Linked DNA regions of Macaca mulatta. The protein of the gene in region 1 interacts with the protein of each later gene in a pairwise test. Links are inferred from orthologs where the notes say so. Each region holds a gene or a part of one and is shown in the gene's direction. Other genes may lie near its edges. The genes, in order: GRAMD2B, TMEM43 and CD207.

What was found.
Region 2: the proteins of GRAMD2B (region 1) and TMEM43 interact in binary tests that used the Homo sapiens proteins (3 or more experiments, as listed by UniProt). The two-hybrid records come from large-scale screens. The link is inferred for Macaca mulatta from reciprocal best matches to the Homo sapiens genes GRAMD2B and TMEM43.
Region 3: the proteins of GRAMD2B (region 1) and CD207 interact in binary tests that used the Homo sapiens proteins (3 or more experiments, as listed by UniProt). The two-hybrid records come from large-scale screens. The link is inferred for Macaca mulatta from reciprocal best matches to the Homo sapiens genes GRAMD2B and CD207.

What each region holds. Positions count from the first base shown.
Region 1 is NC_133411.1:135,416,990-135,427,342, forward strand, and holds part of GRAMD2B (GRAM domain-containing protein 2B), read left to right. Parts: intron 1-3,445; coding exon 3,446-3,541; intron 3,542-6,230; coding exon 6,231-6,302; intron 6,303-6,401; coding exon 6,402-6,482; intron 6,483-9,511; coding exon 9,512-9,623; intron 9,624-10,353.
Region 2 is NC_133407.1:152,927,511-152,937,863, forward strand, and holds the start of TMEM43 (transmembrane protein 43), read left to right. Parts: upstream 1-334; 5' UTR 335-505; coding exon 506-517; intron 518-4,667; coding exon 4,668-4,817; intron 4,818-6,181; coding exon 6,182-6,316; intron 6,317-6,898; exon of another isoform or gene 6,899-6,933; coding exon 6,934-7,028; exon of another isoform or gene 7,029-7,052; intron 7,053-7,887; coding exon 7,888-7,937; intron 7,938-8,204; coding exon of another isoform or gene 8,205-8,207; coding exon 8,208-8,277; intron 8,278-9,083; coding exon 9,084-9,154; intron 9,155-9,416; exon of another isoform or gene 9,417-9,553; intron 9,554-10,312; coding exon 10,313-10,353. UniProt on the Homo sapiens protein: May have an important role in maintaining nuclear envelope structure by organizing protein complexes at the inner nuclear membrane. Required for retaining emerin at the inner nuclear membrane.
Region 3 is NC_133418.1:53,869,606-53,880,521, forward strand, and holds the start of CD207 (C-type lectin domain family 4 member K), read left to right. Parts: upstream 1-5,395; 5' UTR 5,396-5,448; coding exon 5,449-5,521; intron 5,522-5,618; coding exon 5,619-5,735; intron 5,736-7,212; coding exon 7,213-7,587; intron 7,588-8,180; coding exon 8,181-8,332; intron 8,333-9,391; coding exon 9,392-9,510; intron 9,511-10,017; coding exon 10,018-10,168; 3' UTR 10,169-10,916. UniProt on the Homo sapiens protein: Calcium-dependent lectin displaying mannose-binding specificity. Induces the formation of Birbeck granules (BGs); is a potent regulator of membrane superimposition and zippering.

The sequences.
Region 1 (10,353 bases):
TGAAGCAGTATTTCATCTATTTCTACATTTCTGGATTAAAGGTCTTGTTCATGGAATGGGGAAGGGGATTGGGTAGTACTGATCAATGTGATATAGTTCTCAGGAATTCATATAGAGCCAACATGTCTGAGCAGAGCAGCAGGGACTGAAGACACTAATGAACAAAGCATTAGTCTTTGTTAAGCGACTGGGGGATCCACAAAGGCAGTCAGTGCACTTTCAAGCTGATATGATTCTAGCAATGATTTTAAAGTTCTACTTCTACCTAAGAACTGATAAAAAGAAGTTAGAAGAAGTGACCCTGGTTTTTTGAAGACATGGATATACTAAGATTGCTTTTGCAGTGTGTAACCTACAGAGGCAGGAGACTGAAAATTAGCAGGGCGTGGGAATAAGAACCATGATAGTGACTTCTATGTTCCATCCCTTCTAAGGATGGTGTCAAAGGAGATTTGGGCTTCAGAGATGTTGCAGAATTTCCTCACTGCCAATGGACCTCAGTCCAGCGTGATCCAGTATGAGCTGAAGGCACCCAAACAATTGCTCTACCGTGGGAACTTTCTAATCAAGTTCCCCTTCTAAAGCAGTTTACCCTGGAAAAATGTTACCATTACCCTGGAAAAATATTATCATTTACCCTGGAGAAATATTAATAAAGTGTAGCCTTAATTTAATCAGGACCTTTTTAGTCAGCCTGTTGGTATTTTCAGATGCTAGTAAAATTAGCATGCATGTATCACATTCTGTCTAGGCTCAAACTGAAAAGTGATTTAAGCTTTATTTTACAAATGTTATCTGGTTGTAATTTTATACTCATGAAGCAATTGAAAACTTTCTTAAGGGTGTTCCATGCCTTAGATTATGAAAAATCTAAATTTATAGCCCTTTGCCACTGTGTGTTTGTATTGCTGCTCAGAAACAAAATTAGACTCATTTTTTTTAAATTATGATCTAAGTAGATCTCAAATTCTTTTTTTCCAAATTTATCCCAACTTGTAAGTTCTGAATTGCCTCCTGCCTTTGAAAAATATTGTGAGTGGAGTTCTTTGGCAAACAGTTTTTAGAAAATGTCTCAATTGGATTATCCCTTGTTCTTCCATAGTCTTCCTGCCTAGATCATTGAGGGCAATAAATAAGCCCATCTCATAAACCCAGATGTAAATGCAAATATTCAAAATTAAAAGCTCATTTTGTGGTCAGGCACGGTGGCTCACACCTGTGATCCCAGCACTTTGGGAGGCTGATGCGGGTGGATCGCCTGAGGTTGGGAGTTCAAGACCAGCCTGGCCAACATGGAGAAATCCCGTCTCTACTAAAAATACAAAATTAGCTGGGTGTGGCTGGGCGTGGTGGTTCACACCTGTAATCTCAGCACATTGGGAGGCTGAGGTGGGCAGATCACCTGAGGTCAGTAGTTTGAGACCAGCCTGACCAACATAGAGAAACCCCGTCTCTACTAAAAATACAAAATTAGCCAGGCATGGTGGCACATGCCTGTTATCCTAGCTACTCAGGAGGCTGAGGCAGGAGAATCCTTTGAACCTGGGAGGTTGAGGTTGCGGTGAGCCGCGATCGCACCACTGCGCTCCAGCCTGGGCAACAAGAACAAAACTCCCTCTCAAAAAAAAAAATTAGCCGGGCGTGGTGGCACATGCCTGTAATCCCAGCTTCTCAGGAGGCTGAGGCAGGAGAATCACTTGAACCTGGGAGAAGGAGGTTGCCGTGAGCTGAGATCGCACCACTGCACTCTAGCCTGGGCAACAAGAGCAAAACTCCATCTTAAAAAAAAAAAAAAAAAAAAAAGCTCATTGTGCTTGCTTCCTTCAAGCTGGCAGTACTTACATAAAGCCCATCTCTTCTCCACTTTTGAGAATATGTGAGGCATTTTCAAGAAGTAGATGTTCTGTTTTCAGGGATTAAAGTAATGGCGATCCATTTTCCTTTGAGATCAAATTTGGTTGGAGAGGTATAACATAAATTATCATGAACTTCTGTTCTTTGTGCCATTTGATACATTCTTATAGCACATTGTATTGAAAAGAACCCACATTTTGAATCAGACTGGCTTGAGTTCCATCTTTGTAACTTCTTATGTATGATATGCACCTCTCTAAATAAATTTCTTTATTTCTTAAAATATTGACTATGTAGGATCATCATAATTAAATTCTATCTGGTAAATAGGTATCAATAATCGTAGCTTCTATAGTTACTGTTGTTGTTATTCTTTGTTGAACCAGAAAAGTATTTAGTATTAAAAAATATTTTATTTCACCCATCCTGATTTCATAAACAAGTGAGGAGGTAAATGAAATTTTTATTCATCTCTGGGCATTTTGCATATATTATCTTACTTAATCCACAGAAAATCCTGAGAAGTAGATGAGACTATCTCCAATTTATAAATCAAGAAACTGAGGCCTAGAACAGATGGCTTACACGGGGGAGTAGGTCATGTAGATACAGGATGAGTATCCCCTATCCAAAATGCTTGGGACCAGAAGTGTTTTGGATTTCAGATTTTGCAATGTCTGCCAATATATAACTGGCTGAGCATTCCTAATCCAAAAATCCAAAATCTGAAATGCTCCAGTGAGCATTTCCTTTGACCATCAATATCAGCATTCAAAAACTTTTGGATTTTGGAATAGTTTAGATTTCTGATTTTCAGATTAAGGATGCTCAACCTGTAGTAACAGAACTAAGCCAAGTTGGGAGGCCGAGGTGGGCAGATCACAAGATCAGGAGTTCCAGACCATCCTGCCTAACACGGTGAAACCCCGTCTCTACAGAAAATATTTAAAAATTAGCCGGAGCATGGTGGTGGGCACCTATAGTCCCAGCTACTCGAGAGGCTGAGGCAGGAGAATGGCGTGAACCTGGGAGATGGAGCTTGCAGGTAGCTGAGATCGTGTCACTGAACTCCAGCCTGGGCGACAGAGCGAGACTCTGTCTCAAAAAAAAAAAAAAGAACTGAGCCAAGAATTCAGGTCCCAAGTTTTCTCTCCAGTGATGGTCCTATTATACCAGTGCTTTTTAACATTTTCCCCCCAACGTGCACCTAAAGACAGAGGAGAGTGGGGCATGTGGAAGTTAGCCCAAAGTGGATGACCAGAAGCTTGAAATTTCTTTAGAGCCTTGGGCTTATCTTTAAAATGAATATACATTTTGCATTCTATTTTCATGTCTGAAGATAAAGGTTTCCCACCAAGATCTTCAGTCCAATCGATGATTCAGATTTATCCTCCGGCTCAGTAAGCACCATTTTGAGGAGCTCAGTGACACATCCCTGCCACTCTGTAAGATTGACTTTTCTTCATGGAGGCTGGGGAGCTTGCTGCTGGTTTTGATTTCTGTTTACTTTTTTTTTTTCCCTTTAATGTGAAGATTCGAAGTGCTGTTCTGTCAAGTCTGAACTGGCATTAACTTGCTGATTCTGTTTCAGATCTCTATTCCAGCTTTCTCAGTAACCCTAATAAAGAAAACCAAAACTGCTCTTCTAGTGCCAAACGCCCTCATCATAGCGACGGTCACAGACAGGGTGAGTATGCAGCGGAGCGAGGGCACCTTCGCTCTGTCCTCCTGCTCTGGGCTCTGCTGCCTGAGGGCCCTCTTGCCAAGGACCAAGACTCCAAACCATAAATATCATCATCTCCTTTGGTGAATCAGGAAAATTCTATAAGACTAATTTTAAAAATTATAGCCTGTAGACATTCATGTAGTGCTGTTTCCCTTCACAAGGTGATTTATTCTCATAGAAGTGTTGCCAATTTTGAATTTCCTGCTGACTTAATTATACTTGCCTGACCAAGGTCAAAAAAATAAAATGCTGTCTCAACTTCAGCTAGGTCAGGCTAACATCTGCTAGATCAGGCTAAACTGGTATATTCAGTTCCTTTAATAGTCTTAAAGAAGAAAAAAACTTAAAAAAAAAAAAAAAAAAAAGGGAGGCCAGGCCTTTAATCCCAGCACTTTGGGAGGCTAAGGGCTGAGGTGAGAGAATTGCTTGAGCCCAGGAGTTGGGGACCAGCCTGGGCAACATGGTGAAACCCCATCTCTACAAAAAATATAAAAATTAGCCAGGTGTGGTGGTGTGTGCCTGTGATCCCAGCTACTTGGGAGGCTGAGGTAGGAGGATCACTTGAGCCCAAGAGGTAAAGGCTGCAGTGAGCCATGATTGTGCCACTGCCCTCCAGCCTGGGCAACAGAGCGAGACCCTGTCTCCAAGAAAAAGAACAAGAACAAGACCAGGCATAGTGGCTCACACCTGTAATCCCAGCACTTTGGGAGGCCCAAACAGGTGGATCGCTTGAGTCCAGGAGTTCAAGACCAGCCTGGGCAACATGGCGAAACCCTCTGTCTTCAAAAAAATACAAAAATTAGCTGGGTGTGGTGGCACACACCTGTGATCTCAGCTACTGGGGAGGCTGAGGTGGGAGGATTGTTTGAGACTAGGAGACAAAGGTTGCACTGAGCTGAGATCGAGCACCACTCACTCCAGCCTGGGTGACAGAGCGAGCCTGTCTCAAAACAGTAATAAATATATATAAAGAATAACAACAAAACACCACCTTACTGACAGGGTGAGGCAAGCAGGTTGATAGTGAGGAGTTCCTGGTGTGGGGGTGGCCAGCCTCCCCATAACCTCAGTCAATACCTCCCTAGAGCCATTCCAGATAAATAAAACTTGCACCTGCTCTGCAACTGCAGGTGCAGGATCAGTTTTTAGACCTGCTTTACTAACAGGTTGCCTGAACTACCTTCTACATAGAAATTCCAGAGCTGAATTGACTATTGTGCTACCCCAGACATGTGCGATCAGAAACATTTACATTAAAGTGGTGTTTATTTCAGCTTGGCAAGAAAGAGGGAGTGGAGTGGTTACTTTTCACGTGAAATTTTTTTAATCTGTTACCTATTATTTCTATGAAAGCATAAAATCTACATTCTATAGATTTCATTTCTCCTTTTTCCTTTCTTCTTTTTTCTTTTTTTTTAATAGAGATGGGGTCTTGCTATGTTGCCAAGGGCTGGTCTCAAATTCCTGGGCTCAAGTGATCCCCGGCCTCAGCCTCCCAGAGTGTTGGGATTACAGGCATGAACCAACGTGACTGGCTATAGATTTCCTTTCTAACCATACTAGAAAACTTGTAGAGAGAAGAAGAAAGAAGGAAAGATAAAAGAGACCATTCTGATAAGCTAGAAGATATGTTAATATCTATTTGGGGATCTTTTAAAAATACTAATAGCCAACACTCATCAGTATTTCCTCCTTGTCAGGCCATACACTAATGCTTTTCTTATATTTTCTTGCTACCACCCTGTAATGGATAACTGTTATTAAGAAAACTGAAAGTTAGAGGGGTTAAGCAGTTTTCCCAATGTCACCCACTTAGTAAGTGTCAGAGCCAGAATTTGCAACTGGATCTGCCTGATGCCAGAACCCACAATATTAATTACTTTGGAATATAGTACTTGCTTGGAAATAATTCAAGTTCCCTCATTGGTAAATGAGAAGGATAATCGCAAACTCATGGAAAGGAGGTCTGAAAACATTCTATGACATAAATAGATGGGAAAAAAAGTAGATTTTTATATTTTCTGAACATATTGTTTATGGTAAAATCATTTTTCCTCATGTCATTTGTCTTCACATGATTCGTCTAGCTTCTATTTTACTTCTTTCCCATGGCTCACTTATAAGTCTCCACTCGAAAATCTCCATATTTGTACAAGGAAGAATCTGGAAGTGGCATGAAAGAGAGCTAGCCTATTAGAGCCACTGGGAATTTTTCAGTGGAAATCTAGGTCAGAGCAGAGAAGGCGGACCCTCGGGAATTGTTAAATACCCTTAACAACAAAAACAGAGGGAGAGAGATTTTAAAGGGGATCTAGTGAATGTCACTAGCCTTTTTTTAATGTCCAGGCCTTTTCTTCTCTGGGCTTGTTTGTGGCACCAATGACAGGCTTTTGGAGCCTTCATTTTGCCCTACATGTATTGATTACTCTTAAATTGGGTTTGAAAATTTTGTTGTTTTTATGGGAGAATGTTTGCTTTATTCCAGAAATGGAATAAAAATGGAATATTTGGGTGAGAGGAGAATGTAGATCAAAGAGCGGTCCATGTTGTTTGAAAGTGAAAAAGCTGTATACAGATACTTTTCTGAACTCTCAACTCTCACTTCTCATCAGGTAATATCTATTCATAATTATCCTGTTTTGTTTTTCAGTACATGTTTGTCTCCTTACTCTCCAGAGATTCAACTTACAAACTACTAAAATCTGTGTGTGGACACTTAGAAGTGAGTATGATGTCCCTGAGCCTCAATTACTATCTCTCTTCTGTATTTCTTATGGTTTCATTGTTAATCTGGTTTTTCGCTTTGTTCCAATAATTTCAGAATACAAGTGTTGGTAACAGTCCCAATCCATCTTCTGCTGAAAACAGTTTCCGAGCAGACCGCCCGTCATCTCTGCCTCTGGTAAGTTGCCTACATAACTATCTAAATGCAAAAGAAAGGGAATATGTCCCACAGTTACACTTGTGCTTACACCATGACCAGGGTGTGGGAAGAGCTTAGGACCAAAATATTTGAGGTACAGTTGAAGAAACAGGGCATATCTGTCTTGAAGAAGAGGAAACCATAGTAGCCATAAACTTTTTCCAAGTAATTGAAGAGTTGTCCTGCAAAAAGAAGGAAACACCTAGTAGACTGTCTTGGTGAGTTACTGGTCAGTGAAGGCATTCATAAAGTCTTGCTCTGTTTGCCTGTCAATATTGGTTTAGAGGGATTCACACATCTATTTGAGGTAGGACTGAGTCATCCCACAAATCCTTAAATGTCTTCTGTGTTCAAGGCACCATGCTAGTGCACGCTGTAGGATACCAGGAAAAATTAAAACTAATTCATGCCTTCAGAGACTTCACAACTTAGAAGAGAAGACAAACATGCTCAGAATTAACTGTTAAAAAAAAAAAAAAAGGCCGGGCGCGGTGGCTCAAGCCTGTAATCCCAGCACTTTGGGAGGCCGAGACAGGCGGATCACGAGGTCAGGAGATCGAGACCATCCTGGCTAACACGGTGAAACCCCATCTCTACTAAAAAATACAAAAAAACTAGCCGGGCGAAGTGGCGGGCGCCTGTGGTCCCAGCTACTCGGGAGGCTGAGGCAGGAGAATGGCGTAAACCCGGGAGGCGGAGCTTGCAGTGAGCTGAGATCCGGCCACTGCACTCCAGCCTGGGCGACAGAGCCAGACTCAGTCTAAAAAAAAAAAAAAAAAAAAAAAAGAAAGAAAAGAAAAGAAAGCTATAAAGCCCAAGTGACAGGTAAAGATTGATTCATTCCCTTAGACTTTGTAAACTGTAGAGTAAATCTCCAGTGGGAAGTAGCTCCCTCTGTTTGTGTAAGATTTGTACCCATAATGGTTATAATGTTTTCCCAAGAGAGTTCCAGCCATATCATTCAAATGATTATAAATATTCAACATTAATGAAGCAATATGAGCCCATGGTTTCAACATCTCCCACAAATCTTTTTTTGAGAACAGTTTAAAAGTAATGGGACTGAAAGCGTATTCACACAAACACTTGTACAAGAATGTTAATAGCGTTATTCGTAATAGCCAAAAGGTGGGGAAAAGCCTAATGTCCATCAACTGATTAATAAATTTTTTAAATACCCATACAATGGGATATTATTCAACCATAAAAAGGAAATTAAGGGCTGGGCGTGGTGGCTCACGCCTGTAATCCCAGCACTTTGGGAGGCTGAGGTGGGCAGATCGTGAGGTCAGGAGTTCGAGACCAGCCTGGCCAACATAGTGAAACCCTGTCTCTACTAAAAAATACAAAAAATTAGCTGGGCCTAGTGGCGGGTGCCCATAATCCCAGCTACTCAGGAGACTGAGGCAGGAGAATTGCTTGAACCTGGAAGGCAGAGGTTGCAGTGGGCTGAGATCGCCCCATTGCACTCCAGCCTGGAGGATGGTGCAATGAGACTCCATCTAAAAAAAAAAGAGGGAAATGAAGTACTGATACCAGCAACAATATAGCAACATGGATGGACCTTGAAAGCAGCATGCTAAGTGAAAGAAGCCAGACTCAAAAAGGCCACATACTCTATGATTACCTTTATATGAAATATCTTGAACAGGCAAATCCATAGGGACAGAAAGTAAACTAGTGGTTGCCAGAGAATGGGGTGAGGGAGAAATTGAAAGTGACTGCTAATGGGTATGGGCTTTCTTTGGGGGGTGATGGAAATATTTCAGAACAAGATTGTAGCCATGGTTGTACAACATTGTGAATATTCTAAACACCACTAAATTGTATACTTTTAAATGGTGGATTTTATGTTACCTGAATTTTATCTCAATTTCTTAAAAATCTACCTTGAAAAACAGTAGTGGGAAGCAGCACAAAATATAATGTAACACATATGATTTGGAATCCAAGAAACCTGGTTTTAAATCTGGGCTCCACCCAGCTATGTTATATCATCAGGCAAGCTCTGTAACTGCTTTGACTCAGTTTCTTCATCCATTAAAATGCCAGCTTCATGATATGGCTGTGAAGATTAAATGCAATCATGTATGTAAGGAGCTTTGCATACTGCCTGATACAAGATAGGCATTCAAGAAATCATTAAATTGAAGAAATTTTCAATCTTCCTTCTCCTATAAATCCTTGTATGAAATCGAAATGAGTGTTGAGATGAACAAAAGACAGCTAGTTCAAGGTGAAAGGTTGGTAATTTGCTTACAAGATGAGTCTCTTCTTCATCTGGCAGCTGACTAAATTGTTAAAAGCTCAGCCTAATTGTACCTTTGCCAGGACATTTTAATGACACCATTTGTCTCTTCCGTTCTTAAGCACTTTGGGGAACCAATAGAATACAAAGTAGAACGCCTGTGCTTTTTCCCTTACTCCTCCATCATCTTTCTAAAATGTAAATGTACTAGCACTAACCCTGTTTTGATTTAGTTGAGGGAATAAAAAAAGCTTAAACTTTATTTTCAGGGCCTAATTTGCTAAAGCCATTTTTCCTTTTCTGTTTCCAATACTTTTTTAAAATAAAAAAAAAAAAAAACTATAATCTAGTAGTATCTTTCTCTCTGTCTACATATTTGAACTTGGATTTAAAGCTTTCTATTTTTGCTCTTATATATGTGTATAGTAATCAGGTTTTCTCATTTCAAAGTGCTAATGAAACCTCTTCAGCTTCACACTGGATGCTTCTCAATTATTGGCATTCTGGGTGTTTTTCCAGACATTTGTTGTTTTAAACAAGTTGGCCACTGTTTGTTGACAGAATTTTAACTGCCTGAAAAATCTGTTTCAGTAACCAGACACTCGGTGATCTGTTGGGAAAATCCCAATCATATGGGGTAATCCTTCCTTCTGTTCTGTGTTTTATAGGTCAGGCCTAGGTGAAAGGGCTGGGAGGTACAAAGGCCTGCCTGTTTACTAAGGGAAAATCAGCCTGTCTTCATTTCACTGTTTCCTTTCAGGATTTCAATGATGAATTCTCAGATCTGGATGGAGTGGTTCAACAAAGAAGGCAAGACATGGAAGGATACAGCAGTTCTGGTTCTCAAACTCCTGAATCTGAGAACTCTCGAGGTTTGGGAAATTGTTGTATTTTGACTAAAATTTAATTCCCCGCAAAACATCCTCACCCAACCCCCTTAAAAAAAAAAAAGAATGAAAGAAAGAAAAGAAAAGAAAGAAAAAAAAAGCCACATTGTCTTCCTAGCTAAAAATCAGGAATGGAATCTGGAGAAAGGATGCCTTGAGAGTTTGAGGGAAAAGAATTGCCTATGTGGTAAAAATTCGTTTCCTTTTATGCATATTTAACAGAGGTCTCTTAAATAGACCTAATATTGGGGTAGTTGAGAGAGAAAAACATAATATTTTCTTCCCTCTTTTTTTTGTTTTTGTTTGTTTGTTTGAGACGGAGTCTTTCTCTGTTGCCCAGGCCTAAGTGCAATGGCACGATCTTGGCTCCTGCAACCTCCACCTCCCGGGTTCAACCGATTCTTCTGTCTCAGCCTCCCGAGTAGCTGGGATTACAGACATGTGCCACCAAGCCCGGCTAATTTTTGTATGTTTATAGTAGAGATGGGGTTTCACCATGTTCATCAGGCTGGTCTCGAACTCCTGACCTCGTGGTCCACCCACCTTGGCCTCCCAAAGTGCTGGGATTACAAGTGTGAGCCACCGCGCCTGGCCTATTTTCTTCCCTCTTATTTCAATAATATTTTTAATTGTTATAGCCAAATTATCTATGTGAGTTAGTTGGAAAATGAAAGACTATCCTTATATCACTTTATTACTTATTTGCTTAAGCATT
Region 2 (10,353 bases), on another chromosome or scaffold:
TGCAGCCCGTCCCTGAGACCTTGCAGAAGCGGCAGTGGCGGTAGCTGCAGCTTTACGCCGTGACCTCCTCTCCTCAGGCAGGGCGGGCGCCTCCGAAGCCCGCGCGGACCCGCCCCCTCCAGGCCTGCCCGCCGCGCGCCTGCCTCGGCGCCCTCTTAACCGCGGCCAGGCCCACCTCAGCCGGAAACTACATTTCCCAGCAGGTCGCGAGCCCCACAGCAGCTCGCCAGGCAGTAGAAACTACATTTCCCAGAAAGCTTTGCAGTGCGCAGGCGCATCAATGAGGTACTGTAATGTCCCTGACCCGTTTCCAGGTCTCGCCGTGCGCATGCGCAGAAACACTGGGCACACGGGGCGGTAACTGCAGTAAGTCCCGCCTGGTCTTGGAGTCCACGCGGATTTTCGAAGCTGGGGCTGGCAAGAGGCCGCTGGACTCCGCGCTCCAGTCGTCAGCCCACTTCCTAGCTGAACAGCGCGAGGCGGCGGCAGCGAGCCGGGTCCCACCATGGCCGCGAATGTGAGTGTCCCCTGGCCAGCCGGGCCACACCCAGGCTTCTCCGTCGCCCTGGGGCTCTTCCCCGGGGCCCTCTGGGTCCGTTTCGCCGTCTGGAGCTCCTCCCTGCGGCTGGGCCCGCATCTCCCTCTGCGCGCCGTGTCGGTGCCTTCGCCAGCTCATCCCTCTGTTAATCTCTCGAACCGTCCAGACTTCTTTTGTCCGTGTTCTTTGGTCCGCCTAGTCCTCGGCGTTCGTGCGGAGGCGGACTCGGAGGTGTTGCTCCCGCACTACGATCTGCTTGTACGCCTCTCCGCGGCTCCTCCTTGCATTCCTAGTTCCCTCCTGTATCTTGGGGCCCTGAAGCCGTCCCAAGGTTGCGCATTATGAGAGCTGGACGGGAGCTCAGAGAGGGGGCCATTCCCTTGGGAGGGAGGAAGGCGACCCAGCCCAAGTGGAGCTGTCCAGCAATGGACGGATAGGGCTGTCCAGGCGGGCAGAGAGCTCCCCGCTCTAGGGAGGCTGTGTAAACCGAGGCTGTGATGCTGCAAAAAGCTTAGGCTGGGCTGGGAGCGAAGGAGTTAGGGGGAGAGGGAGCATTTCTCTACTGTCGGGGCCCCTCCTCCTCCTAGCAAGGATTTGGTTGGAGAAGGCCTGGCTGAGGGCTGTTCCTTCAAGGCCTCTTCTCCCTGCAACTAGCCTTTCTCGGGAAACTATTTAAGCCCAACATTCATTCAGCACACCAAGCAGCGCCTCCTACCAGGGCGCTGGATGTGGGAGAAGCTGGTGACTCACTTCTCCCCTCCTCTGTGAAAGTGCTTCTAGGGCCTGCTTAGGAGCCCAGCCAGCCCCAGACACACCCTCCCTCCTGCTTTGGTAGAGTGTCCTAGCAGCTCTCCCCTTGCCTGTCACACCCTATTTCCAGACGCCGCCTCTGTCCCCAAGCGTCCTCTCTGCCTCCCACACCCCTTGAGAGGCCAGGGTGTGCATCACCCACAGTCCTAGTACACTCTGTCTCGGGTTAGTATCATCTACACTCCCAGGACACTTTGGGCCCACAGGAGGGTTAGAAGCCTTGAATGGTGTACCTAGAAAGGCCTCAGAGGTATTCCGAGAGACTCAGGCTCGGCCAGGAGAGAGGGCAGACAGGAGACCAGCCTGTTTGTAGTATGTGGACTCTGTCTGCTCCCATCACCACCACCACCATATTTTACAGATGGTGAACTTCCCCAGCAGGGGAAGGCACCTGCCCAAACTCTTGTGGCCAGCTTGGCATGCTGCAAAGGGCAGGCTTTGGAGTTAGGGAGACCTGGGGGCAATCCAGATTCTTCCACCCAGTAGATGTGTGGCTTTCATCTCTCCAGGTTTATGTAGCCTCATGGATCAGTTACTGTGACATTTAAGGGAGACTGCTTAGCACAGTGCCTGGTGTGTCGTAGGTACCTAATACTTGAAAACTAGCCTGTCATTGCAGAGGGGAGCACAGATGGTCCCAGTGAATAGAGATCGTCTTGGGTACATTGAGACCTGGCCCCTCACCAAGGAACATACATGCATTTGAGTATCCTCTGCTGCCAAGCATTTGTTGATTCATCCAGTAGCTGGGTATACATTTACAGCAGCCACTAGGCTGGGTGAGGAAGAAGATAGTGGGATGGAGTAGGGAGGCAACAGAATTCTCAATCAGTATAGCAGCAGCAGTACCGATGGTGAAGGTACTATTCCCCTCTCTACTTTATAAGTGAGTAAACAGAATCAGAGAGGTAGAGCAATTTACCCAGGCTTCACAGCAAGTGATTGGTGAACCTGGGCATCGAACCCAGTTCTGTTCATTTCCAGGGCTTATGTGTCAGCCTCTGTTCCCACCACTCATTGCTCATTTCTTCTGAGTCCTGAGTGCTGGGACTGGGAGGGGATGTGTCACTGGGGATGTCTGTGTGTGTGTGTGTTTACATTTGTGTGTATACATGTAATATATATGTATATATAAATATGTGTGTATATATAGATCCTTTATGATCCTCCATGTTTACTGGGAATTTTGGTTCAGAATGTGGGCTGGGTATGTCATGTCACTGCCTACCTCATCCCTCCCCTAGCCTGAGGGGCACCCTCCTGTACCTCTCTTCCTTCCCTCCAAGGCTGTCTTTGAGCCCCTTATCTTGATGCTGGCTGAGGGGACGCCCAAGAGGAAGCCACGCCTCCTTTTCCTGTTGCTGCCTGCAGCCGGCACCCAACATTCAACTCACATTGTAGCCCAAGAGCTGGGGAGCACAGACTGGAATGAGTAATAGGAGAGTAGTCTCCAGTCTGCCCAGATGTGAATCCTAACTCTTCCTCTTAGAAACTGTGTGATCTGGGAAGATGACTTAACCCAAGCCCGATTTTCTTATCAGTGAAATGGGGTGGTTATGGCATCCAGCTCTTTGGGCTTGCGTGTGGGCTGGCCTGTGATAGACCGGCGTGTTTGCCATTGTCATCATTATGATGGTCACCTGCCTGCCTGTGGTGATTCCCTCCCTTAATGTTTCCAAATGGTATAGAAAGTCAAGATGACTTCTGGATTCATGGACATCTGGTCACTGGAGGCCTTGGCTGGTGATATTCAAAGACAATCAGAACGTGACATCAGCTTTGTCCAAGCAGAGACTCTGACTCAAATCACTCCTCTGGCCCCTAGTGCCAGGATGGGGCACTGTCTTAGCTGGGCCCCACTTTATATCTTTGTGACTTTTGTCAGCTCACTCCCAGCCTGGTGCCAGCCCACTATCAGTTGTAGAGAAATCTGGTAACATTCCCACTAGCTAACATGTGTAGAGTGCTTACCAAGGCCTCGGCCCTGAGCCCCCCAATAACTATGTTCTTTGCTTCTCACCACAACCCTATGCACAGAGGAAATGGAAAGCACAAAGTGGTGAAATTGCTTTTGCCCAAGACCCTGTAGCTGGTGTGTGGCACAGCATAGATTCAAACCCAGTTCTTCTGGCTCCAGAATCCTGCCCTAGACGATGACGCTTTTGATCAGCAGTGGATGCACCCCAAATCATGCCTGTGTTATTGACCAAAGCCTGATCCACTCACCCTTGAGTTTGAGGCCCACTGTGAACCTGCCCAGAAATGCCTAGCTCCAAGCCCTTTCTTCCTCCATCCCTCCCACAACCCAGCCAAAGCAGATAGGCAGCTGCTCCCCCAGGACCACTTCCTACTTCTTCATCACTGCTGACATGGTTCTCCCTTTAGGGATGCTCTTCCCCTAAGGTCTGTCTCTAAGATTCCACTCAAATGCCCCCTCCTCCAGGGAGCCTGCCTTGATACCCCAGCTGGAAGGGGTCACTCCTTGAGCACTGAGTCCACCCCTCTCACAAGACACTCTGTATGACCTTCTAGTATTGTTTATGGTTGTGACCTCACTGCCCTAAGACTGTCTACTTCTGACCCCACAAGGGCTAGCACTGCCCTCAGAAAGCTCAGCCACTGTTTGCTGAATTTAATTAAAAATACCTCTCTAATAACCTCTTTGTAAAATAGCCTGGCAGTTTCATAAACACACATCTTCTCTGTGAGCCAGCAGTTGTACTCCTAGGTATATTCCTACAGGAGATGAAAGCACACGTCTGCATAAAGGTTCATGTATGAATGTTCACAGCAGCGTTATTCATAATAGCCAAAACCTGGAAGCTGCCAAGATACCCATCCACTGACGAATGATTCAGCACATTGTGGTATAGTCATAAATGGAATACTACTCAGCCCTGAAAAGGAACAAACTCCTGATAAACACCACAACGTGGACGAATTGCAAAAGCAGTGCTCTGAGTCCAAGAAGCTGGGCAGAAAGGAGTTGGTGCCCTGATTCCATTTTTCTCAAGTTCTAGAAGAAACAAAACTAATCTACAGTGGGAGAAATTCAAATTCAGATTCTCCCCATCCCTACCAGTTACCTCTGGTTGGTGGAGAGGGGGAGAGTTGGCAGGAAAGGGGCACAAAGAAACTTTTTGGGGAGATGGAAATATTTTGTACCTAGCCAAACTGCACATTGAGTATCTGTGTGTTTTTACCACATACAGTTAAAACTAAAAACAAAACAAAAAAAACTGAGTATAAATAAATAGCAAATTTCATTTATTTTTAAAAAACTAATTTTCCTTCTGTGACTATGTTTCTTTTTCTTCAGTATTCCAGTACCAGTACCCGGAGAGAACATGTCAAAGTTACAACCGGCTCCCAGCCAGGCTTCCTGGAGCGGCTGAGCGAGACCTCGGGTGGGATGGTCGTGGGGCTCATGACCTTCCTGCTCTCCTTCTACCTAATTTTCACCAATGAGGTAAAATGTCTGGCGTCTTCCTGTGCAGAGTGAGAGTCCCTACCATGTCAGAGAGCAAAGGCTATGAACCCAGAGGCTGGTAATAAAGGGCCTAGATTTTACAAAAGAGAAAGAAGGATACTGAGTTAATCACAGTTCTTTGCATTGTGATGCATCCCACAGCTGATGTGAGCAGGAAAAGGAGTAGATCAGTTCACACACCCGAAAATCCAGGGCTTAGCACCTGCCTCAGGCGTAGTTGGATCCAGGTGTTCATGCTGGGTCACCAGGAGTCTCCATTTCTTCATCTTTAGCCTGTTTTTCTCTATTATGGTGTATTTCTTGGGCAGGCACTTCCTCTGTGATGGTAAATGTGGCCCCAGCAACTGGCTTACATCCAACCACTTAGCCCAGGGAAGAGAAAAACCATTTGTTTATCTTCCTTCCCTTCCTTCCCTTCCATCCCTTCTTTCCCTTCCCTCCCTTCCTCCCCCACTTAGCCCAGGGAAGAGAAAAACCATTTGTTTATCTTCCTTCCCTTCCTTCCCTTCCATCCCTTCTTTCCCTTCCCTCCCTTCCTCCCTTCTTTCCTTCCTTCCTCTCTCTCTTCTTTCTTTCTTTTTCTCTTTTTTTTTCTCTCTCTCTCTCTCCTCTCTCTCTGTCTCTCTCTCCTCTCTCTTTCTTTTTTTCCTTTTTTTAAAATAAGACCTCATGATGCAACAGCATATTTCTAAATCAATTTAGCAACAGTTACAGGGCAATCTCTCAGTGTCCTGGCTTGGCTGTCAGTCCTCTGAATCAGTCTCCGTGGCCAGGGGTCACTCACATGTTCTGATTGGCAAGGTCTGGGTCACATGATTTGAACAGGGGTTCAGATCTACCTAGGTAAACCACATGGACTGAGTAGGGGAGAGGAGAGCCAGGCATGGTGGCTCAGGCCTATAACCCCAGCACTTCGGGAGGCCAAGGAGGGAGGATTGCTTGAGGCCAGAAGTTCAAAAGCAACCTGGGCAACATAGCAAGACCCCATATCTACAAAAAATTTAAACATAAAAATAAAATTAAGAAAAAGAAGGCAGAGAAAAATGGGGAGAAAGAGACAGGCAAGCAGAAACGCCAGCTGTTCTCACCACTGGGGCAGTGCTAAGACTGGTGGGGGCTAGTGGGAACCAGTGGGGCAGTGGGAAGAAGTCTGCCTGGGAAAGCAGGAATCTGGGTTCCAGTCCTTACTCTCCACTTGCTAGACCTCAGTTTTCCAACTGTACAGTGGGGAGATGGGTCTCAGTGCTCCCTGAGGCCCCATCCTACCCTGATACTTTGCAACAAGCACAGTCATGTTGAGCCACCCCTGAGTTGTTGAAATTCCCACTCCCCTTTGCTCCCAGGGCCGTGCGTTGAAGACGGCAACCTCGTTGGCCGAGGGGCTCTCGCTTGTCGTGTCCCCTGACAGCATCCACAGTGTGGCGCCAGAGAATGAAGGAAGGCTGGTGCATATCATTGGCGCCCTGCGGACATCCAAGGTAGGCTTGGCAGGGGATGCTGACCTGCCAGTGGCTCGGGGCTCATCCTGGATGTTGTCTGGCTGAGGATTTGAAAGCATGGGCCTTGGAGATGGTCACACGTGAGTGTGATTCCCGACTCCACCGCTCAGCAGCTGTGTGGACTTGTCTATCCTGAGTCTCAGTGTCTTCATGTATAAAATGGGGATGGTAATAGTAACAAGCTTGTGGCCAGCCTTGAGGATTTGGTGAGATGAGATAACTAACATCTTGATACAGAGGGTGGCACTCAAGGAGGTGCTCTCATGATTGTGATGACCGTGTGTGACCAGTGCAAAGCCACAAAACAACCCTGGGCACCAGAGCTTTCGTGTTATTTGAACACCCTGTACGCTGTTGGCACCATGCCATTGGGCCATGCAGCCCAGGCCTGTACTGTGAGGGTCACGGGCGCTATGTGTGAAGAACTTGGGATAGGCAGTGTCCTTGATCCTCCCCTGCAAAGCAGCCTAGGGCTCTCCACCCTTGTCCCCTTCTCTATTTCTTCCTCTTCCAGTCCAGCTTCCCCTCAGCCAGGCTTTCTGGGCTGACATGAATCTTATCTTTTATTTTTTTGGTTTCTTTGATTCTGTTTGAAGCTTTTGTCTGATCCAAACTATGGGGTTCATCTTCCGGCTGTGAAACTGCGGAGGCACGTGGAGATGTACCAGTGGGTAGAAACTGAGGAGTCCAGGTGAGGCGCCAGGGGCTGAAAACTCTGTTGGGGTAAAGGAGGAGTGAGGTGTAGGTGTCAGGATAACATGCAGATACCTTTCATTTTGATGCCTTTGAAATTCAAGGATAACATCTTCCTATCAGAAAAGTGTGAAATTATCCCCAAATTAATAGCCAGTGATTTGGAAGTGGCAACAACCCAGTGAAGAGTGGCTCCAAGAGGAAAAGGGGATCGAGTCACTCCCACATCTGGGAAGTTCCAGAGATGCACAAGCTTGAAGCATGACTTGGAGCAGGCGTGAAACACTGTCATGGGATCAGCATGTCACCCCCGAGACCCCACTGCATCTCTCTGTGTTCCGCCTTCCCATCAGCTGTGTTGGTCCCATCTTCTCTCCACTTACAACTTATCATTTCTGACAGGAGTCCCGGGGCAGGTTCTCATTGACCAGGGCTGGGGTCACCTGGAGCCCCACCTGAATCACATGGACTGTGACCGATGGGTGGGGAGGTGGCGGGAGGAGCAGGAGAAGGGCAGCTTCAGGAGCCCCCGCAGGGCTGTCCCGGAGCAGAGGGTGCAACCAGATCTCTGAGCCCAAAGGGCAGAGCTGGGCCCCTTGGTGGTGTAAGGCCAGTGGGGGTAGATTTCAGCTCAGGATGGGAGCGCGCTTTCCTCCAGGCAGCGCCTTCGAGGGCGGGAGCTGGCTGGCTGTCAGGAGGGAGTGCCCTATCTTGGGGCTGATGTAGAGAAGGCATCTGCCCCCATCTGGGGAGTCTGCATCTGGTAGCCCTGAGGTTGCTTCTGGCTCAGATGCTTAGAGGTTAGACCGTCCAGGGCGACGAGGCTAACCCCCATGGCTGCCTTGCTTTCCCTGCAGGGAGTACACTGAGGATGGGCAGGTGAAGAAGGAGACGAGGTACTCCTACAGTGAGTACTGGGCCCCTCACGTGGTCTCTACCCATGGTGGGGGCCCACAGCAGTGGCTGGACAGCAGGGCTGTGAGTTGGGCCATGAGAAGGATTCAGCACCAGGCATCAGAATCCCTGGGTGCCAGTCTTCAGAGTCCTGCTCTCCCACCCATCCAGTGAGGCTCCCTGACCCACCCCTTTGGCTGGGAGATGGGAGGAGCTGGGCTGGTGGGTATCAGCCACGTGCCACTCCTACCCAGGCTCTGAGTTGTTTCCTCTCCCCGAGCAGACACCGAATGGAGGTCAGAAATCATCAACAGCAAAAACTTCGACCGAGAGATTGGCCACAAAAACCCCAGGTGAGAGCCAGGCCCCAGGCCTGAATGCAGCCTTGTCTATACTGACAGGTCTCCAGCCTCAGTTTCTTTATCTGAATAACAGGATTGAGTTAATCCTGCTCCATGGGTTGAAAATGTGGGACATGGTTTTGAGACCAAGCCCTGTGCTGGGCACCAGGAACACAGAGACCCGTCTCCCCTGACCCCCAACGAGCTCCCCACAAACAGGTCACAAATGTACGGCCTGCACTAAGCATCTAAGGGGATTTGCACACACGGAGCCAGGCAAGCATTTTGTTAATGGTTTGCCATGGGTAGGAGGACAATTAGGACAGGCTTTCCAGAGGCAGCAGCATTTGTTGAGGCTTCTCAGGATTTCAGCAGAGGGAGGTTAGCTCCGTGGCATGCCAGTGGTGAGGTGGGCATAACACTTGTGTGTGGCTAGAGAGCAGGCCTTGTTCAGCAATGGTCTGGGCTGTGCCAGTAAGATGGTCAGGGGATGGAATGCTCTGGGAGGGGCTAGTGAGGGGTGTAAAGTCCATGCAAGAGATATCTGACAGCGGTGGGTGGGGCACGACAGGCTGGCAGGGGTCTAGGCAAGAGGGTAGGAAGCTCCAGGGAACAGGAGACAGAGTGAGGGCACTCAGCCCGGGGGAGGGGGCACAAGGGCCCTGGGGGTGGACAAGAAAAGATGTCTGCTGTGCCTGGGCTAATCTGGACTTGCAGGAACCCCCAGGTGGGGACCCTGCCCAGCACAAACAACCCAAAGGGACCCAGGCAGCTCCAACACTGGTGCCCATCTCTTGACAGCTTCCTCTCTCCCACAGTGCCATGGCAGTGGAGTCATTCACGGCAACAGCCCCCTTTGTCCAAATTGGCAGATTTTTCCTCTCGCCAGGTAAGTCTCAGACCTCTCCAGAGGAGCTTGTGCCAGAAGCACAAGGCCCCTCCCACAGCCGGAGCTCCCAGCACTCAGCCTTCAGATGGCTAAAGGCACAGGATCAGTCTATACCTTTCCCACCACCATGCTTTGGGCGGCCAGGGGAAGGCGAATCCCCAGGGAGCAAGGGCTAATGTAGAAACCCCCTCCCCACTCCATCCTACCAGGTTCCTCTGAAACCTGGGTTGTTCCAGAGAATGACTCAGGCATGCATCCTCACCCTGCTGCGTGCCGGTGTCTGCCTTCCTTCCTCAAGCAGACTCCTTCCTCAAGCAGACTCCGGCTAGTAGTAGACATGGGGCGACTCAGTGCTCTCGGTCTAGGCCTCCGCCTCTGAGTCCCACCTGTGCCAGGAAGTCACTAGCTCATCACAGGCACCCCCCATTGACTCCAAAGAGAAGCTTGCAAGGGATAAGGTGGGCCGGAGAGTGTGTGGCTAGAGAGCAGGCCTTGTTCAGCAATGGTCTGGGCTGTGCCAGTAAGATGGTCAGGGGATGGAATGCTCTGGGAGGGGCTAGTGAGGGGTGTAAAGTCCATGCAAGAGATATCTGACAGCGGTGGGTGGGGCACGACAGGCTGGCAGGGGTCTAGGCAAGAGGGTAGGAAGCTCCAGGGAACTTCCATGGGCCGGCACCATGGGCCGGAGTAACCCTGGGGTCTGTTCCTGGGCCTGACCCGTGAAGGTGGGAGAAGATACCAAGGGTCCAGATAGCCCTGGGGAGGCTGGGGGATCCTGAGCCTGGCCTGGGTCTGCTTTGTTGCTGGATGGTGCCTGCTGTGCCAGCTGGGCCTGCCCTCAAGTAGCTCTCAACCCAGGAGGCAAGTCAGGCTTGGACGTGGATGGCCGTAACCTTGATGGAAGGGAAAAGGGCTAAGGCCACTCCCAGTGCTGTGGTCACTCTGACTTGGTGGGAGAGGGCACAGGGAAAGCTTCCTGGAGGAGATGGTCTAACCCAGGGGAAGCCGTGGACGAGACAGATCAGAAAGAGGCACCGGAGGCGGGAGCGCCACGTGTGCAGGCTTCAAGGGCGCGGGGGAAGGGGGTCAGGCCAGGGACTTTGCAGATTGAGGTTTTCACCTAGTCCACTGGGTTTCTAACCACTCTGGTCCCCTCAGGCCTCATCGACAAAGTTGACAACTTCAAGCCCCTGAGCCTG
Region 3 (10,916 bases), on another chromosome or scaffold:
GATGTAAGTTTGATTTTAAGGTTATCCATAATACATTACTAAGCAAAAAAAAAAAAAAACCCAAAAAAACAAAAACAAAACCTTACACACTATAGGGTAGAGTTCTAGTTTTGTAAAAAAAATTTATGTGCTTACCTAATGCATTGGACAGAACTCTTTGGTTGCAAGAAACAGAAACCCATCCAATTAAATTCAAATGAAAATAAGAGATTTTTGTTTTTGTTTATGTTCATATAACCAAACCAAGAAACAGAGTGTCTGTGGGGAATGGAACTCAGGTTCAACAGGATCCAGCACTCAAAAGCACCAGGACTCACTTTTTGTCTCTTCGTTTTTTTGTTACAGCTTCTGTCTCTGTGCTGGTCTTATTCTACTGAGGTCTTCCACATGACAGAGGAACTGGTTACTAGCTGCCCTATAGTCATATCTTTAGGGCCCTCAGTTTAGGGAGAGAGGAGAGCTACCTTCCTACCCAAACCTTGGGCAGCCATCATTGTGAGCTGTCACTTCTATGCCTGGAATCAGCAGCCCCATTTGAATCACAAACTGAAAAAAGTTTCCCAGTGGAGAGGGATTTTTGGTATCAGAAATTCAGGAGAGGCCAGGTGTAGTGGCTCACGCCTGTAATCCCAGCACTTTGGGAGGCCGAGGTGGGTGGATCATGAGGTCAGCAGATTGAGGCCATCCTGATTAACATGGTGAAACCCCATCTCTACTAAAAATACAAAAAATTAGCCAAATGTGGTGGCGGGCGCCTGTAGTCCCAGCTACATGGGAGGCTGAGGCAGGAGAATTGCTTGAACTCTGGAGGTGGAGGTTACAGTGAGCTGAGATCACACCACTGCACTCCAGCCTGGGCAACAGAGTGAGACTCTATCTCAAACAAAACAAAACAAAAAAGAAATGCAGGAGAGGTGGGGAAGGATGCTAGGGAAAATAAGCAGGAATTGTCTTGTTAAATATGTATATAATATATCCATAGTTACGATTAGACATAGCTATGGCTATAGATATAGATGTGTATATGTATATACATGGGTGGTAAGGAAAACTGAACTATGGGTATAACATTTGTTGTCTCTATGGTGGGTTTCTTTTTTTCTTTTCTTTCTTTTTTTCCTTTTTTGAGACAGAGTCTCACTCACCCAGGCTGGAGTTCAGTGGCATGAACTCAGCTCACTGCAATATCTGCCTTCTGGGTTCAAGTGATTCTCCTGCCTCAGCCTCCCGAGTAGCTGGGACTATAGGCACACACCACCATGCCTAGCTAATTTTTGTATTTTTAGTAGAGACGGGTTTATGTTGGCTAGGCTGGTCTCAAACTCCTGACCGCAGGTGATCTGCCCACCTTGGCCTCCCAAAGTGCTGGGATTACAGATGTGAGCCACTGCGCCCAGCCTATGGTGGGTTTTTTTTCCTACTTGGATTTTTTCTATAATTAATATCATTAGTTATATAATAAATAAAAGATTTTAAAAGAAACTGCACATTTTTTTTCCTAAAAGCCTTTCATTACTTTCCTAACATAGATTTGCCCCTCTCACTAAAGCTATAGGCATGAGTTCTTTGACCTACAATGTAATTTGGAGCAGCCTTCTCTGCCGGGTACACAGCAGCTCTTCCATGTGGCTAGGTTGCCAGCCCATTTACATATCACACTATTTATGATGGCACTGGGTGAAATACCCTGATCGGTAGGGTCTGGCTCATTGTCACTGTTCCAAAGAGACTTATCCTTATACAATGTCATAAAAAAGGAACCCATTATCAGGGTCCAGGGAGACATGGGGAGGTCCCTATAGTGTTGTCAGTCATTTTTAGTCTTGGGAGACTTCCCTTCTCCCCAGCATTAAGGATGTCATATTTTTTCAACAACAGGAAAACCATTCCTGAGGGCGGGGTCTGTAGTTGTCTTTTTCCTTGCTGTGTCTTGGTACCTAGGGCACAGCAGGACTCTAGAGGAGTAAGTGATGCCACCTATGCTCCTTGGTTTCTCTGCCCTATCCCCTGTGCCCAGGGCACATGTCCAGAGGGTGGCATGGAATCCCTTGATTTTTTGTGGGCCAAATCCCCCCATTGCATCACAGGAGTCCCTCTGAGGCCTGCAAGCCAGGTGTGACCAGCTGTAATCCCCTCTCATTTCAGAGTCATTCTCCCTCCTCCCTCGCTTCTCCTTCCCTGTCCCCACTCCGCAGTTCGGTGTTCACTCTAGTTTCCTCCATGACTTGACTGAGGGACTCGGGTGACTCCTCCCGGGAGATGACTCTCGGCACTGCTGGAGCATTTCAAACAACCCAGGTCTCTGTTCCAGTCTTGCTGATTAAGTCCATGGTCCTCCTCCAAGCATAAGGCTGGTCCCAACCATAGTCCCAACAAGAGAAAGGGAAAAAGTGGCCAAGCTGTTTTCTTCCTCTGTCCTTGTCCAGAGAAAGTATTAGAACCCCAGGAGCACAGGAAGAGGAGAAATGAAAGAAATGAGCACAGACTTCCCATTCTCACCACAGAAGTGATTTTTTTGGTCACTAGGTCTGATCAGAGCTCCTCTTCTGTTTGGAAGAGGAGGGTTCAGAAGCCTGAGTGCCCAGGAGAGCCGCCCGCCTTCCTGACTGGCAAGTGTGGCCAAGGCACCTGCCTGCTTCTCTGTCTTTTCTCCTGTCAGGCCAGGTGCCAGATAGAGCATCCAGAGATTTGCACAGGAGAGATACTCAGGAAATACCTGCAGATGAGCATGCTTATAGGAAGACGGCTCGTGACTCCCTCCCTCTCCACAAAGTGGGAAATGAAACTTCTTATGGTTTGGGACTTTTACATCCATGTCCTCTGAAACCCCAGAGGGCCCACAACCCAGGATTCCATGCCTTTGCTCAGCTTCCTCATGCTGGATCATCCTTTCGCCTCTCAGTATTCTACCTACCTGAGCCTCCATTTCCATCACTTGGACTAAATGCTCCCTGCCCCAGCCCCTTCCTATGCCATCGGCGCAGCCTCTTCCTATGCCATGGGCCCAGCCTGCTGAGGCTTCCTTATCCTTTCCTGGGACCACTGAGAGGGCGTCTGGGGGCTCTATAAAGAATAACTCATGCCACAAACCAGCAGAGAAAACCCAACTTTTTGACCTAGGGGAAAGGGACAAGACACTCCCAAGGCATGTTGTGTGGCAGCTTCTTTCCTTCAAATGCTGCAGGAGGAGACCAGGACCCCTGCAAGGCCTCTTCTACCAGGGTCTTAAGTAATTTGGATTCTTCTCTATCCCCAGGCCCAGAAATAGGACAGGCTGTGGATGAAGGGCCAGGAGTCAGGAGCAGAAGGGCAGAGATGGCTCTGGAGTTGGGCTGGGTCCTGAGCATGAGAGTCCAGAAGTGGAACATTCTAATCCTGTCTAAGCCCTGACAGAACCAACGCTCTGCAACCACACGAGCCACCTGAAGAGAGTGGGAATCTTCATGGGCGTTCAGAGGCAGGCAGTGAGGTGGAGCCAGACCCTGAGGTTTGGGACTATCGAACATCAAAATTTAGAGCAGACAGCAGGTAGGGAAGCAATGAGACAGAACAAATGAGACACCATCTTTGTTACCCGGCTTCCTTCCCAGAGCTTCCCAGTGTGGGGTCCCCTCTGGGTTCCCTCATCCAGTCTGAGAAGTGACTCCAGCCTGAGGCCTGGTTAACTGGAGAGAGAGAGCATCGAGGGCCTGTAACTACAATGAGCTGCACATGGGCACGGGCTGAGCGTGCAGCCACCATCCTCCCAAGTACCAAAGGCAGCAGGAGCCCCTGAAAGCATAGGTAGATATTTCCTTGGCCCTGCTAGCTTAACCTCTAACCCTGGTCCCTGATACAGCCTGTCATCCAGCTCTACTGGCTCAGCCTCAGCAGGCCCAGGACAGCTTTCTTGTCCTGCGGCCAGAGCTTTTGTTCATTCCTGAGTAAGGAATAAATCACACTTCCCCTTATGCTTTTGCTTTGAAGATGAATGAGAACTTCTGGAGATAGCGGAAAGAAGCAGTAGCTTCTAGAAGGCAGATCCCAGGCCACAGACTGTGTAAACATCAGAGTGGCATGATTAGCTATCAAGTCTCCCAGTCACTTACCATTCACCCATCCGTCCATGCATCCTCCATCCATTCATTCATCCATTCACCCATCCTCCAATTATCTGGACCAACCTCCTTCTTTTTTCTTTCCTTCCCTCCCTCTTTCCTCTCCTGTTTCCTACATTCCAAGAAATATTTTTATAGAGTCTGCCATGTGCCAAATTTCTCAGATTTGGCAGACTTCTTCAAAGCATGAGAAGTCACCCAGGAGAAAATGTAGTCCTTCACTGAGCTCCAAATAGGCTCCTCTGTGCCCTGAGCTTCTTGCACATATGGAACTCTCTATTCAGGGTTACAAGCAAGGAGAGAGGAAGTTGTGGACAGAGAGAGAGGAGAGAGAAACAGAAAGATTCCTAGTCTGACGTTGCTGAGCACCCCTACTTTGTTTGAAAAGCTCACATGCTACAGGAAGCAGGGAGGAGAACTCAAGTCTTAGGTTTACATTTTGAATCTCCAAGTTGCATATTATAAAGGAATATTGTATCAGCCAAGATGCGCTAATAACGGGAAGCAGAATATTCTATTGCAATGGTTGCTTCCTGGCTTCCCCCAACCAGTCTGTGCTCCTCACCACGATCAGAGTGATGTTTTTACAGTGTCCCTGTCCTTGTCTCTCTCCTGCCTGAAGTCCTTAATTGGCCTCATGTCACCCACGAGCTAGAGGTGAAGCTCCTTGACATGATCAGAAGGATCTTCATAATCAGACCCCAGGTGCCTCTTCCACCCTATGTGAGTCCCCTTCCTCACATTTTTGTGTATATTTTATGTTCCAGCAATATTGCCACTATTTTCAGTTTGCCAAGCACTCCATGCTATCTTAAGCTCCATCCTTTGGCATATGCTTATCTTTCTACTGCAGTTTTTTTCCCATTATTCCATTTCACACGCTTCTTTCAACTGGGCACATCTGTCTCTTGTGCAATTTATTTGCTCATGTCTGTCTTTCCCACCAGACTGTGAGCTGCTTGGTGCAAGGACTGTGAGTTATTCATCGCTGTGGCCCTATGCCTGGTACAGCATCAGTACCTAGAAGGCACTCAGTCCGTATTTGTGGGGTGAATGGATGGGTGGATGGGTGAAGAGAATCTTACAAGAGAAATGGGATAGCTTTGGGGCAAGATGGTTAATGTATCTATGTAACAGACTCCCAGAGAAGACAACAGATGGCCTCTTTCTGAAAGCTCAGACTTCTGAGGAGGGGAGTAAGCCAGACAAGGTATCTAGTCAGGAATAGGGAAGTTGGGATGATATGGTGACCTAGTGTGGGACTGACTTCCTGTTTCCTCTAGATAAGAGCCCTTGGAGAGACAGGCAGCCAGAAGCACTTGTGCTTCCAGGGTAAGGGTGAGCACTCAGGATGACGGCCGAGAGGGAGGTCCCTGATGCACACTTCACTGTGGACAAACAGAACATCTCCCTCTGGCCCCGAGGCAAGCCACAGTCACTGCTGAGAACCTGCTCCGTGTTCTGTGTGCAAACCTGCCCTTTGCTACTCCTTCAACACACATTTTCTTCTTTTTCCAACAGAGCCTCCTCCCAAGTCTGGTCCATCTCTGTTCCCGGGGAAAACACCCACAGTCCGTGCTGCATTAATCTGCCTGACGCTGGTCCTGGTCGCCTCCATCCTGCTGCAGGCTGTCCTTTGTAAGTCCTCATGTTTCATCGTCTGGGCTTAGCCCCTCTCTGTGGCCAGCTGGCTCCCTCCAGATCCAGACCACTTCCCTGCTCTCCAGGTTTCTCCTGCCTCTGACTTTCATTTGTCTCCTTTCTCCTCTTTCCATGTGCAGTAACAGGGTGTGCCGCCCCCAGTACGGTGAGCTGATGCTCTTTCCCTCCCAATTTCTGGGAGATTATTGGGATCAGCATTTGCACATTGGTGCTCAAGGATACATTCTTTTGTCCTCAGGAAACATTTATCTAGTTTTTCATGCTGTGCTATTTTCTCTCCCTCCATCCCCCACCAATCTGAGCTCTGCTCCTTGGATTTGGAGCCTTGTGGACAGTCCCTGACAGTGCAATGTCTCCTGACCCTGTGAAGGACTAAGCCTCATGTGTCATTGGCCCCAACTCACCAGATGGAGAGCCTGACCAACGAGCCAACAGATCTCCATGACTCAGTCCCCTCAACAGGACCCGTTCGTGCTCTCTTCATTCTCCTGTCCCTGCAAAAATCATGTCTAGGGAGCCTTCCTACTCATTTGGTGTTGCGGGGTTTATCTTTCTTCCTCTTCTGGCTCTGTCAGGCTTCATGCCCTTTGCTGCTGGCAGAGCCTTCTTCCTCCTGCCAGGGCTCCAGCAAGCGGAGCAAGGGGACCCGAGAAGCTGTTGGGTTTGGTTTTCTCCCTCTGTGGCCTCGGGACATACTTGGTCTTAGACTTGTAGGCTCTGAGCAGAGTCCCCCTTCCCCCATCCTAGACCCCTGGCCTCTAGCATGGCATTTTCCTCAGGGCTCACCTTTGAGCCTCTTGGTTTATCTTTGATCCTCTCTCTGGTACCCAGGCCTGGGACCTGAGCAGAATGTGAAAGTGGGTAGGGCAAGGGAAGGGGAGAAACAGTTTTGTAATCTCCTTTTCCATGTTCTCTGGAGAAGAAGCCACTTCCAGATTAGTGGCTGGCTCTTCCCATGGTCACAGAGGGGCCCATGGACAGATGTGAGGGAGTGGTGCTGTCCTAGCAGACAGCCACTGCAGGGGTTTCTGAAAGCAGAGGGATGGCAACCAAGGGGTGGGGTCCAGGGGGAATCAAGTTCTGGGGAGAGTGATGGGGCTCATGGAGGGCACCCCTTTATCAAATGTTCCATGAACACTCAGAGAAATTTCAGGACTGGTTTCTAACCCCTGCTTCTGCTTGCCTGTGAAATTTTCTCACAGAGAGCCTGTGTTTCATCCATCTCCCCATTGTCTGTATCCACCTGTGTTCCTAGCACATGGTAGGTGCCCATTGCACATTTGTTGTATCTTAATGAATGATTGGAGGGTTGGGGTGGCCCATTGGACTGTCCTGGTTCTTTGGGAAGCTTCAGCCTGTTCCTTCTCTTCCCTTCCTTTGATCGACCTGACAACAGCCCCACTCCTGTCCCTGGGGCTCCCCTCAGCTGACCTCCTGACTTTCTCAATCCCAGATCCCCGGTTTATGGGCAACATATCAGATGTAAAGACCAATGTCCAGTTGCTGAAAGGTCGTGTGGACAACATCAGCACCTTGGATTCTGAAATTAAAAAGAATAGCGATGGCATGGAGGCAGCTGGCGTTCAGATCCAGACGGTGAATGTGAGCCTGGGTTATGTGCGTTCTCAGTTCCTGAAGTTAAAAACCAGTGTGGAGAAGGCCAACGCACAGATCCAGATCTTAACAAGAAGTTGGGAAGAAGTCGGTACCTTAAATGCCCAAATCCCAGAGTTAAAAAGTGATTTGGAGAAAGCCAGTGCTTTGAATACAAAGATCCGGGCACTCCAGGGCAGCTTGGACAATATGAGCAAGTTGCTCAAACGACAAAGTAAGTGACTCAGAAAATTACATTGAAGCTGACCAGCGGCCCATGGGATCTTACCTGTCCCAGACCTGAGGTCACTGGGCTGGTGGGTTAGGGAGGAGGCCGGGGGGAAGAGAGGGGCAGCCATGGACTAGGAAGTTAAGGAGGGAGGGCTTGAGGTTGGGAAGGACTTAGGCGCAGTTAGGAGAAAAGAGACCACGGTCCAGCTAGAGTTCCCACACCAAAGTGCAGAATGTAAAAGCATTAGGGGCTGTCCACCCTGGCCCATACCTAGTCATTTCTCATCAAGTTCCTTTCTAGAGTCCAGGGGCTCAGCCACTTGTCATGGCCGATGGAGGGTTGCTTCCCCTCATGGGAAAGACACTCTTTGTCCATCCTCTTGCATTCTAACCTCTCCAGTCCCAGACACTCTATTAGTCTCTGTCTGACTTTCAGGATTTGAAAGAGTGTCCCAAATCCCCTACACAAGGAGCCAAGGACACCAGAGCACAGCTCCATTTGCTGCTGTCTCTGAGACCTCATTCAAGTGCCCCCACCAAGCCAGCACCCCAAGAAATCAAGAATACCAGTATTCACTTTTACCTCTTGTTCTCTAGATGACATTCTACAGGTGGTTTCTCAAGGCTGGAAGTACTTCAAGGGGAACTTCTATTACTTTTCTCTCGTCACAAAGACCTGGTATAGTGCCCAGCAGTTCTGTGTGTCCAGGAATTCACACCTGACCTCGGTGACCTCAGAGAGTGAGCAGGTGAGTGTTGTGCCTGTGGGCTCTGGGAAGGGGGCATATGAGCACTGGGCCCGGGAGGATGGGCAAGATTATACTGTGCGAACAAAAATCCCCAAATATTGATGACCTAATGAAGAAGGAGTTCTCAGTACTATGTCCAATAAGGGCCAGCAAGGGGGCTGTGCTCACTATGGCTACTCAAGGACCCAGGCCGAAGGAGTCTTTATCTGAACATGTTTCCACAATTGCTGGGGCAGGAAAAGGGAACTTGACATATTGTGCAAAGCTTCTGCCCAGATTTAACATACCTCATTTTTGCTTACATTTCACTGGCGTAAGTTACATTAAGTAAGTTAAGTAAGTGATGCAGTACTCCTGGACTGGGAGGATCCTGGATTCCAGTACTCCTGGAACAGGGCAGAGAGGAGCTACTTTCCATGTGCCCAGAAAAAAAGAAATATTTGTGAACAGCATTAATGATTCCACGTGACTCAAGAAGTCTCCTGCCTGGTGAGGCAGAAATTGGGCAGGCCCTTTTCATCTGGGCGGTGGGATAGCAGCTCAGGTCAGAGCCTGGGCTCTGGAGTAGTTCTAGAGCCCTAACCTTGCCAACTAACTAGTCCTAGCAGCTTGGGTGGAATACCCAACTTCACTGGGCAAACTTCACTGGCCCTCACGTGCTGAAACATGCATGGTGATGGCACCTGCCTCAGAGGAAAGGAGTGAATGCATATGGAGGACTCAGCACAGTGCCGCATGTGGATTCAGGTGTTGTCATATGAACCATTCTCTTGCGGTCCATGCTCTGGAGTTCAGCTGAGGCCTTCCTGTGCTTCAGCACCTGCTTCCTGAGTGGCAGAAATGCTTAAGTCCTGAGCCTGTTAGCTGCAGGGCAGGGACACATCATAATCTGGAAGATGAAATCTGGGCTCTGGGCAAGGGCAGGAAGAGGCTTGAGAGGCCAGTGTGCAGTGCATCTGTGGGTCAGGGCTGTCAGTGAGCACAGGTGAAGAACACCCAGAGACAGGTGATCAAGCTCGGAGTGTGACCGCACCTCTGCTTAACCTGTCTTTCCTATAGGAGTTTCTGTATAAAACAGCGGGGGGACTCACCTACTGGATTGGCCTGACTAAAGCAGGGATGCAAGGGGACTGGTTCTGGGTGGATGACACGCCATTCGACAAGGTCCAAAGTGCGAAGTAAGTCCCTGGAGCCCTCCCTGCCAGCCTGACTTTCCCCGGCCATGGCCAGGGCATGAAGGGAGTTGGGGCGATATTCCCCATGAGACAGGGTTTCTGATTCTTCCCTGTGCTAGGGTGACAGGAGCATTGCAACCAAGATCTAGCGCAATCCTGTCACTAACTGGCTGTGGGATCTGGGCCCTCCACGCCCTCTGGGGTGTGGCAGCAAGGCCTTCTACCTGGCCGGCTTCAGCAGGGATCCTGTCATGAGTCTAGGTCTTCACAGTGTGGGTTTGTGTAGGGACTTGAGAGTGGTGGGTTGGTTTTGCCTGGACTTGGGGCGTGAGTGAAAGCTTAGAGGTCTAAGTCCCGCTAGTCCCCTTCCTCTTAGGCTTGGGTGCAGACATTTACTATGCCATTCCCTAGGACTCAAGCTGGGGTTGAGTTAACTCATTTCTTCACTGGAAATAAGTTCTTCTTGGTTTTCCACTTTGTAAATCCATCCTTATTTCTCCCTCTTGGTAGGTTCTGGATCCCAGGTGAGCCCAACAATGCTGGGAACAATGAACACTGTGGCAATATAAGGGTTTCCTCGCTTCAGGCCTGGAATGATGCCCAATGTGACAAAACGTTTCTTTTCATCTGTAAGCGACCCTACATCCCGTCAGAACCGTGACAGAACAGGCTCCCAAGCTCACTCTTTGAACTCCAACGCTTGTCAAACATGAGGAAATGCCTCTTTCTCCCCCAGACTCCAGGAGGACTTTGCACGTTAATTTTTCTTGCTTCAAAATTGTCCCACAGTGGCATTCTGGAGTCCATCTGTCTTGGCTGGAAATTCTCTGACCCCATGGAGGCAGCTGGAATGGAAAGGAGAACTCAGGTTAAAGTGGGAGGGGTGGGTAGAGAGGATTTAGAAGTTCCAATTGCCCTGCTAAGGAGGATTAAGACCCGTAATCCGGGACAACACCTGGGGTTTTCCACTTCTTCAGAGAAGCCTCAGCTTCATCACATCAAAGTTATTTCAGAGCAACCAAGCAATTCTGCTGATATTGTCATTCAGGGCTTTTCTTGGCCAAACCCTCTAGAATTTCCACGTGTCTGCTTAGCTGTGCTGGCAGCTGGCAGCTGGCTGTGTTTGCAGTGGGAATAGCTCTGTTCTTGGAGATCCTGCTCATGGTATATCCTCAGTGGCTTCTTCATCCACATCATCTAAAGCCTGAACCTCTTCTCTGGTTCAAGTCAGCGGCTGACATGGACTTGTATCTCCTTCAGAACTCGGCCAGTACCCAGACTCCCTTCTCCTTCCACTCACTTAGTACACCCGGGTGCCCAGCCCTGCCTTCCGCCCCAGTGTCCATCCAGCCTCTGTCCTCACCTCCCCGGCACCTCCTCCTCCTTCTGCATTTCCTGTCTTCCCGTGT